Linked DNA regions of Oryctolagus cuniculus. Each later gene encodes a partner of the first gene's protein in a complex. Links are inferred from orthologs where the notes say so. Each region holds a gene or a part of one and is shown in the gene's direction. Other genes may lie near its edges.

Region 1 (3,043 bases):
GTAAATCTTTGCTACTCCATTCACATTTCCTCTTCTGTCACTACCTGTCCTTTTCCGAGGCTTTGATCTTTTATTAACTATGAAGTGATATCAGAAACTAGGCTAACTGAGCACGTGTCCACTTGAAAGTAATTTTTTTTATAACTTACATAGAAAAACTCTCATATTCTCCAAAATATATACCTTTATGTAATTAGATAGGAAAGCAAATGTCAATCCAGGACAAGTTCTAAAAAATTAAATGATTTTTAAAATGAACATAAAAACAACAGAATTAGGGGCAGATGTTTGGCACAGCAATTAAGACACCACTTGGTACCCACCCCCACACCCCATATCAGAGTGCCTGCATTTGAGTCTGGGCTCTACTTACAGTTCTACCTTCCTGATTATGTGTACCATGGGAGGCAACAGATGATGGCTCAACTACTTGGGTCCTTACCACCCACATGAGAGACTTGGATTGAGTTCTGGGCTCCTGGGTTTGGCTTAGCCAGCCTTGGCATTTGGGAAGTAAACCAGTGGATGGAAGATCAATCTCTCTCTTCCCCTTTCAGATTAAAAAAATAAGAAAGTTATTTTAGGAAAAAATACAAGCTAACTCTTTATTTTTCTTCCATAGCCTTTGTTTAGTACCAGTTACCCTTTTACTTTCCAACTGTTCTCAGGCTGATGTAGATGTAATAGTTGATCTTCGGCATAAAACAACAAGGTAAAGATTTCTTTCAGTGAAAAGTTATTTTGTGGCTTTAGCTTTAAAGTAATTTTAGAGCATTTTAATATTGTTTTATTCTATAAATAACTTTGTAATATGGAAAGATAATGTTTACTCCATCATGTCCTGATTTTGTGTGTGGTGTTATGGAAGTGTTACAGAGATATTAAATATTAAAATTTTCATTTCCAATTATAAAATAATACTTAAAAAATTCTAGTGCCATATCTCCATATCTAGTACTCCTAGAGCCAGATGTTTTTTGACATTTAGAAATTTTGGATTTTTAGAAAAATAGTTTGAAGCATATACTGAATATTACTGTCATATATCTTAAACAGGATTTGGAACAGTTCTTTGAAATCCAGATATTTTACAAGTTTATGTATATCTTAGTTAGTGGGTACTGGGTTGGTTTCCATTTTTCAGTCTTACAGTTTCAGTGTTATAAGCACTCTGTACACACATTTATTTTTATATATGAATAACCAAGGGATTAAAAGCTCAGATATGAAATCAGGTTTCATCATTTACTAGATGTGGGAATTAAATATTAACTCACTATTAGCATTATGCTTAAAAATAATTATTATTAATACATGTTGGCTGTTATAATAATAGAACATTGTTATTATTAATAAGTATCTGGCTTCATTAAATAATTCCTAGAAGTAGAATTGTTGAATGGAAGGAATATATTTATGTGACTCTGGGGAAAAAATAATATAGAGGAAGCTCTGTAACTTATTATTTTCCTCCTCTCTTAGTCCAGAAGCATTGGAAATCCATGGATCATTCACATGGCTTGGACAAACACAGTATAAACTTCAGCTTAAAGGCCAGGAGATCCACAGTTTGCAGCTGAAAGCATGCTTTGTTCATACAGGTGTTTATAATCTTGGAACTCCTAGGATATTTGCCAAATTGTCGGACCAAGTTACAGTGTTTGAAACAAGTCAGCAGAACTCCATGCCTGCCCTGATCATCATCAATAATGTGTGACAGCTTGCAAGTTTGTACTGAAATCCACAAGAATCAGTTTAATTTTGCTGAATGGGTTTTACAGCAGTATTTGAAATACCTAACATTATGGAGGTTGGGGTCTGATCACTGCAGAATTCTTTGACTTGCCATTTTGTTGATGATGCAAAGCACATTGGACTGGGAATACTTACGTTCTTTTTTTGTTTGTTTTTGTTTTCATATTTCTTTAAACCCTGGTAATAATTTACATGCTCATAATACAGAATTTCAACATACCCATGTACCTCATTAAGTCCCGTCTTAAAAAGCAGTGTCTAAGTCTACTGTTACAACTTATCAATGGTATACAAATATTAGGAGATGATTTTGAGGAAGGAAAGGCCTTGTTGGCAGTACTCCTGTTAAGCCATTAGTTTATAAATTCCAGCTTTACTGTGAAATTCTATAGAGTGTTAAATACAAATTTTTCCATGTTCACAAAATTCTCTAAAATCTGTTTTGAACTTTGGTTATAGAGTCTTCAAGTTTCAGTATCTGATTGTCCCTATGGCTTATACATAACTTTGTAAAAAGAAAAAAATTTTTTCTGATGCTTTGAATATAGTTTTGAAAGGAGTTTGACTTTTTTCCCCCTCATTCATCTCAGTATAGAGTGCGCTATTTCACAATATGAGATTTTTGTCATTAAAATTATCATATTCTTATTATATAACTTTAACAATTGAGTTGATCTGTTTAAATGATAAATCTACTCAAGTTAATTAAAAATAAGCTTTTCAAAATGTATTATATTTATAACAAATGTACTGTAAATAGAATAAAGACATGCTATTCACTGTATAGATTTATAAGATGCCTTGCCTTTTTTAAAACCTGAATTTCTGAGAACTTAATATATTCTCTATTTAAAATAAGTGGCAACCATATTATTATAGCAGATACCAGCCCAATTTGCTGAGAAAGCTTTATTATCAGAACTGAAAGTATAGTCTTTGTTCTTTTTATTTTTAAAATACTATATTTATTTGAGAGGCAGAGAGAGACAGACAAAGAGCTCTCATTCACTGGTTCATTCTTCAGATGCCTCCAACTGCTAGGCCAGGCAGAGCTGAAGCTGGTTGGGAATTCAGTCACATTTTGTACGTGAATGGCAGGAGCTCAAATTACTTGAGGCATCACTACTCCCTATCAGAATCTGCATTAGCAGGAAGCTGGAGTTGGAAGCTAGAGGTGGATTATCAAACCCAGCTACTTCACAGTGGGACATGAGCACCTTAATCAGCTGCACAACTCCTCCAAGTTTTTGGTCTTAAAAGCTCTTTATGGCCTTGTTTTACATAAGGA
Region 2 (3,655 bases), on another chromosome or scaffold:
CAGGGAGTTGGATTGGAAATAAAGCTGCTGGGACTAAAACCAGCATTCTAATGTGAGATGCCAGCATCTTAGGCAGTGACTTAACCCACTGCACCTCACTGCCAGCCCCTTGATGCTGAAGTTTTTATTAATTTGTTTTATTTGAAACAGCGTGAGAGACAGACACACAGATGTGGATAGATCTCTCATTAGCTGATTCACTCCCCAGAGGCCCAGAACAGCTGGGGCTGGGCCAGGCTGAAGCCAGGAGCTGGGATTTCCATCCAGGCCTCCCATGTGGGATGCAGAGATCTAACTGTCTGGGCTGTCATCTGTGTCCTCGCAGGGTGCAGGTTCGCAGGCAGGTGGAACTGGGAGAGGTGTCTGGACTCCAGCCAGGCATTCTGATGTGGGTGTGGGCATCGCTGTGGACATCTTAACCAGTGCACCAGTGTGGAAGGGAGAGCATGCACCAGCTCACTCTGGAGGACGGAGGAGAGGAGCGCCCCTGCCTCCTCGTCTCTCCACCCTTTGGTGTGCTAGATCACAGCTTACTTTCCTTCACGCCTCTCAGCTCATCGCCACCTCTGTCCAGGCCCCCTGGGAGTGTTGTGCTCCCTTTGCTGAAGCTGCTCCAGGTCTGGATTCACAGTCAGTCAGTCAGTAGCCCTCAAGCACTCCTGAGCACAGTGTGGGTCGTCTCACCTTCCTGCTCAGAACCACGCAGAGCACCTGCCTGCCCACCAAGTCAAGTGCAGCCTTTGTGCAGTGTGCAAACCCTCCAGCCTGCGGCCGTGAATGTGGAGGCTGTGAGAGGACGCTGGGCGCTGGGCTCGGCCTGAAACCCATCCCTTCGTTCTGTTGCCGGCTGTGTGATCTTGGGCTCCCGATGCTGCTGTCTAACCTCAGTTTTATTTTAAACTAGTAATTCCTTTTTTCCATGTAACTTTTTAATTGGCAAATTGAAAATGTGTGTATTTGTAGTGTACAACATGATTTTTTAAAGACTGACTTATCTGAAAGGCAAATAGAGAGAGAGAGGAGTGCACCTGTTGGTTCGCTCCCCGGATGGCTGCAACAGCTGTCTGAAGCCAGGACTGGCCCAGCATCCAGGTCTCCCATATGGGTGCAGGGGCCCAAACACTTGAAACATCCTCTGCTGTCTACCCAGACACATTAACACGGAGCTGGGTCAGAAGTAGAGCAGCCAGGACTCAAACCAGTGCCCGTATGGGATGCTGGTGTCGCAGGTGGCAGTTTAAACCACTGTGCCACAACACTGGCCCCACAACATGATGTTTGATGGTGAAATGAGATCATGAGCTCTTTGCTAAGGTACATTTTACTTCTAGAATCCTCCAGCTCTCTAGTTTGCACTTCTGTCACTTTGTTGGGTGCACTCAGGAGTGCCCTGTGCGCACAAGCCTCGCAGACGGCCCACATTGAGCGCTTATTCCTTCTACTCCCTAGTGCTAGACTGGTCCCTGGCCTTTGACTCTAGGCATTCTTCATCCCTCAAGGCCACCCTCCACACGCCATCTGCCTGTGACCTGCTCCAGGTCTCAGGTGCGTCCCCAACGGGACGTCCTCCTTGGGGCAGGGCTGTGTTTGAATCTTCATAACAGCACCTATGGTGATTTGTGAACCTGCCCCAGCGGGGGGTTGTCGAGTTAAACTGAATCAGAGTCATTTGCCTCGTTATTATTAAACTGAAGTGTATTCTTATAGACATATAATTTTGCAAATGTGCAAAGATAACAAGTTAGTTTAGCCCTTGTTTTAAATGTTAAAATTCAGACTCTGATGCCAGATTACTAAGGCATAGGGACTTCTGGACTTGACGTGTGTAGATAACTTCTTGTTTCATCGCCTCTGTGTTCCCAGCTCTGGTTTGTGCGGCTGGCGCTGCTGGTGAAGCTGGGCCTCTTCCAGAACGCTGAGATGGAGTTCGAGCCCTTTGGAAGTCTGGATCAGCCAGACCTTTACTATGAGTACTACCCCCACGTGTATCCCGGACGGAGGGGTAAGCAGCGGTGCTCACTAGCTGTCGTTTGCATGTTCTTGTTCTGCTCTGCTTTACTTTTACATAATTGGGTATCGGCAGTTTTCCTTATTTAATTAATTCTGAAAACTTGAACAAGTTGCCTGGCACGAAGCCTCCCCACGCAGGGCTGTGAATGCAGTGACGGGGGGTGGGGGGGGACGTCCTGTCAGAGCAGGGTGGTTGGGGTGGGGCTGGGCACAGGTGACGAAGCACCCTCACGTCAGGACCAGACGCCCCGGCACAAGTACAAGCATAGCACCGTCCCCACCACACGGACCACGCCACGTGTGTTCCTGTTTTAAGTCTGGTTATGACCCATAAGGGATTGCAGTCACGACTGCTGCTTGGGGAAGTCCGGATCCTGGCAAAGGGAGGCTCAGGACTGAGCTGAGGAAGGAGAAGCGCAGGCTGTGGACAAGCTCGCTCCCTGGAGGGGTGCGCGAGAGACGGCTCCTGGTTTACAACAAGGACAGGGCTCCTGGGGTGATGTCCCTGTAAGGCAGTGTGGGCACCGTTCCTGGGAGCAGGGTCCAGCCTGGCTCCTCACCCAGCCTCGCAGACTGGGACAGGTTGGTCGTAACCTGTGCCCCAGTGTCACATCCCAGAGAACAGGGCGATCACTCACTTCCTGGGGTGCCTGAGGATGAAGTGTCCTCCATGGAGGTCGCTTAGAATTGCTCAGGACCACACTGGCACAGGGCTGTTCCCGCATTTTGGTTTTTCTTACTTTTACAGATTGGTCAGCAGTACCTGTTAGATTCCAGCACCTTCGTCTTTGTGAAATCAGCGGCTCAGCATTTCTTCTCGGAGGCAGTGGTTAGAAAATGTAGAGCCAGGCTGGGGTAGAGGTGCAGGTGGGGACAGCTCAGGAGGTGTAGACCTGGCGTAGGGGGTGCAGGTGGGGACAGCACAGGTGTAGACCTGGAGTAGGGGGTGCAGGTGGGACAGCTCAGGAGGTGTAGACCTGGCGTAGGGGGTGCAGGTGGGGACAGCACAGGTGTAGACCTGGAGTAGGGGGTGCAGGTGGGACAGCTCAGGAGGTGTAGACCTGGAGTAGGGGGTGCAGGTGGGGACAGCACAGGTGTAGACCTGGAGTAGGGGGTGCAGGTGGGACAGCTCAGGAGGTGTAGACCTGGAGTAGGGGGTGCAGGTGGGGACAGCACAGGTGTAGACCTGGAGTAGGGGGTGCAGGTGGGACAGCTCAGGAGGTGTAGACCTGGAGTAGGGGGTGCAGGTGGGGACAGCACAGGTGTAGACCTGGAGTAGGGGGTGCAGGTGGGGACAGCACAGGTGTAGACCTGGAGTAGGGGGTGCAGGTGGGGACAGCACAGGAGGTGTAGACCTGGAATAGGGGTGCAGGTGGGACAGCTCAGGAGGTGTAGAGAGAGACCTGGTTAGTATTGAAGTAAACTATTGTAGATGATTCAAAAAATTAAAGCAATATTTTTTTTATCCCTGTTGATAGCAGCAGGTATATAGGTGAATTCAAAATGCTAGAAGCGAAAACATTTCTTCAACTTCCTTTTGTGTTTTTTCTTAGAACATTTGCCTATATTGGAGGGGTTAGGCAAGGACAGAGGCACCAGCGTACCTGGCTCTCCCTCACTGGCGTTCATCGTCTGTGACTTTCAC
Region 3 (3,655 bases), on another chromosome or scaffold:
GTTTCAGCACTTAATGTGCATTATCTTATTTAATTCTTATAATTATCTATGAAGATAATAAAACCAAGATTTGAAGAGACCATATGACTTTCCCAGAGTCATACCTGTATGCCCAGGATCACACAGCTCATAGGGATGTGTCCAGCTAGGAGTAGAATCCAGATCAACCTAATTGTAACTAAAGGATTCCTACCAACAGAGTGGGTTCTTCTGAAAGATATAATATCCCATTGTCTTCCAAACAGACTCTTTTAGGAAGGAAGTGTATTGCGTTTGTTAAGAGTAGGGCTCCAGGGTCAGATTCTGCCTTTGTCACTTTCTGGCGATGTGACCTGCTTATCTTAAAGTGGCAGTCATTACATTATCTGTTTTTGTTGAGTGGTTATGGATCTTACCACGGGCATGGGGAAGGGGGGTGTTCAAAAAGTTCATGAAAAACAAAACAAACAAAAAAAAAGTTCATCAAAAAGCTGTATATGGATTTCAAAAATACTTTACAACAAACTTAATTTAGCTTTAATTCCATTTTCTACCAACTGTTTTGAAGTACTGTGATGCATACTACATGGATAGTGATTCTAACGACACCTGTGATCATACATTCTTCTTATTTTAGTTATCTTGAGTCAGGGTGTGGTGTAAAGTCCTTGGACAAAAGGAAGACCCAGATTCTAGGCATTACACCACTAGCTTTGTGGCCTTGGGCGAGGTCTTGCATTGCTCTTAGATCTCCTTACTCTTCTGTGAAGTGAGAAGGATGCTTGCCCTCCCACTTCACTAAATCCTGAGGTCATGTCTAAGAAAGTGCTTTGCTGCAGGGATTGTTATAAAACCATAAGACCATTTACTTGAAATAGTGGTCAGGTTTCTCTATAGAGATTGTTACAGATAGCATCTAAGAAAAAGCCTGCTCCTTCCTCACATATAGCTGTGACTATTTATTGATCAGTTATAGATTTGTGTTTTTTGGCCTTCTGTTTTTAAAACTTTATTTGTATGAGAAGATTTAGAAAAGCCATGAAATGCTCCTTTGAATTTCCTTGCAGGATGAAACGGTAACAATAGAAACTGTCTTTCCATTTGACGTCGCAGTGAAATTTGTTTCCACAAAGGTATGCTTCTGTGACATGTATATGTGCTGGAAATCATATGGGTTAAAGAAATTGACTGAAAAGAATAAAATGGGTGACTGATTCCTGACCCACCTTCTGTCTTCGTTTGTGCCAGTTTGAGCACCTGGAAAGGGTCTATGCTGACATCCCCTTTCTGCTGATGACCGACCTCTTAAGTGCCTCGCCCTGGGCCCTCACGATCGTATCCAGTGAGCTGCAGCTGGCTCCTGCCATGACGGCCGTGGATCAACTGGAGTCTCAGCTGGACAAAGGTGAGACCCCGAGTGTGTGCCAGCTTGGGAGCCAGTGCAGTGGCAGGCCTTTTGCTGAGGGAACTTGAGACTTTTACAGGTACTCACAGAAGCATATACATTTAAATTAAGATAGACTTAGTGGCATTTACCATTTGTTTTAGTATACCTTATTTTAAAAGATTAGATGTTTTTCTACTCTAAGGAAGTTATACTTTAAAAATGGACGTGAGGGGGGCCTTGTCCCATATTGGAGTGCCCAAGTTCAAGTCCCAGTTCTGCTTCTGGTTTCAGCTTCCTTCTAATGTGTGTCCTGGGAGGTCGTGGTGATAGCTCAACTGCGTGGGTCCCTTGCCACCCATGTGGGAGAACTGTGTTGAGTTCCAGGCGCTTGGACTTGGCCTGGCCCAGCCCTTGCTGCGAGGGATTTGGGAAGTGAACCAGTGAATGGAACAGCTCTCCCTGAGTCTTTCAAATGAAATGAAAATAAAATTTTTAAATGGAGAAAAAAGTACTTGAAAATAAAATAAGAATATTTTTATATGTGCATTTCTTAAAGGTTGCTGTTTCTTAAATTGATGTAATGTTTACTGTTTATAACTTAAAATGGGAGAACATGATTTTTAGGAAACTGAAAAATATAAAAGAGTACAAGATAAAATTTTCAGGTCACCTAACCAAAGCATCTTCAAAGATGGATTCAAACCCATGATGATGCCTTTCTGGCTCAGTGCACTTTGAGCTGATATGCTTCTTGAGTGTTAGAGTGAATAAAAATTAAATGTTAACTCAAGAAGTAGTATGCTCAGCTGTATTATAGGAATAAATTGTATGAGGGGTGAATTGATATATTCTTAAAACCAAAAATATACAAATTGCTTTATTTTCCTGATTTATTGTCTATCTGCTATTTTATTTCAGTGTTTAAGTATTCAGACTAGTTAATGTACAATACAGACTAAAATTAGATAGGCAGTTATCAGAATTATAGTGTATTTTGGCAATATCTGTCAATAAATAATTAGTAAATATTTATTGAATGCTTCTCTCCAGGGGAGCAGGTGAGATCCTCAAGAAGACATCAAAAAGATCAATTGGTCTCCGTACCCATGTTGATGGGTTTTAGAAAATTTATCTTTTATTTTATTTTATTTTAAAGATTTATTTATTTGAAACATAGAGTTAGAGAGAGGGAGACAGAGACAAAGAGATCTTGTATCTGTTGGTTCACTCTCCAAGTGGCCACAACATCCAGGGCTGTGCCAGGCTAAAGCCAGGAGCTTTGTCTGGGTCTCCCACTTGGGTGCAGGGGCCCAAGCACATGAGCCATCTTCTGCTTTTCCAGGTTATAGCTGGATCAGAAGAGAAGCAGCTGGGAATCGAACCGGCACCCATATGGGATGTCGGCACTGCAGACAGCAGCTTAACCTACTGCACCACAGCACCGGTCCCCATTCTTCATTTTCACAACCAACAGTGTAGCACTTCTATTCAGAAATTAATCCGCTTATTATTAAATATTGTGATCATTTTTAGTTAACTTCTTAGAATTAGGGAGGCAGTTAGTGGAATTTAATATGAGTATTTTAGGGGCCAGTGCTGTGGTGTAATGATAAAGTCGCCACCTGCAGTGCTGGCATCTCCTATGGGCGCCAGTTTGAGTCCTGGCTGCTCCACTTCCGATCCAGGCCTTGGAAAGCAGTGGAAGATGGCCCAAGTCCTTGGGCCCCTGCACCTGTGTGGGAGACCTGGAAGAAGCTCCTGGCTCATTGCACCTGGCTTTGGATCAGCTTAGTTCCAGCCGTTGCAGCCAACTGGGGAGTGAACCAGCAAGTAGAAGACCTCTCTCTCTCTTTCTCTCGCTCTCTCTCTCTGCTTCTGCCTCTCTATAACTCAGCCTTTCAAATAAAAAATAAATCTTTTAAAAAATATGAATAGTTTAGATTTTTTAAAAAAGCAACCTCAAGAAGTTTGAATTCATGCATTTTTTATTAATGGGCTACAATGTATCATTTCTTATTCCTTAAAATTACTTGAAAGTACTGAAATAAAAGTTGACCTTTTTTCCCTTTCACTGCCGATTTCTACTTACAATCAGAATTCCATTAGTCTATTGCAACCTTCACTGGAAAGTAATAACCTAACGTTTAGGGACTTTGTTGTTATTTCATAATTTCACTCAGAGATTTGTTAAACTTAGCATTAGTTAGACACTGTTGCTTGCATTTAAATGAGTGACATTGCAGTCTGTGAAGTGCTGAAAGGTAGAGAAGATTTGATTTAGATGAGTGC

Evidence for each region.
Region 2: TRAPPC8 (region 1) and TRAPPC12 share a complex: the UniProt entries of both Homo sapiens proteins name them as parts of the multisubunit TRAPP (transport protein particle) complex. The link is inferred for Oryctolagus cuniculus from reciprocal best matches to the Homo sapiens genes TRAPPC8 and TRAPPC12.
Region 3: TRAPPC8 (region 1) and TRAPPC11 share a complex: the UniProt entries of both Homo sapiens proteins name them as parts of the multisubunit TRAPP (transport protein particle) complex. The link is inferred for Oryctolagus cuniculus from reciprocal best matches to the Homo sapiens genes TRAPPC8 and TRAPPC11.

Annotation. Positions count from the first base shown.
Region 1 is NC_091441.1:45,792,899-45,795,941, forward strand, and holds the end of TRAPPC8 (trafficking protein particle complex subunit 8), read left to right. Parts: intron 1-622; coding exon 623-712; intron 713-1,482; coding exon 1,483-1,717; 3' UTR 1,718-2,539; downstream 2,540-3,043. UniProt on the Homo sapiens protein: Plays a role in endoplasmic reticulum to Golgi apparatus trafficking at a very early stage. Maintains together with TBC1D14 the cycling pool of ATG9 required for initiation of autophagy. Involved in collagen secretion.
Region 2 is NC_091433.1:197,957,196-197,960,850, reverse strand, and holds part of TRAPPC12 (trafficking protein particle complex subunit 12), read left to right. Parts: intron 1-1,863; coding exon 1,864-2,002; intron 2,003-3,655. UniProt on the Homo sapiens protein: Component of the TRAPP complex, which is involved in endoplasmic reticulum to Golgi apparatus trafficking at a very early stage.
Region 3 is NC_091433.1:65,508,410-65,512,064, forward strand, and holds part of TRAPPC11 (trafficking protein particle complex subunit 11), read left to right. Parts: intron 1-1,046; coding exon 1,047-1,112; intron 1,113-1,227; coding exon 1,228-1,384; intron 1,385-3,655. UniProt on the Homo sapiens protein: Involved in endoplasmic reticulum to Golgi apparatus trafficking at a very early stage.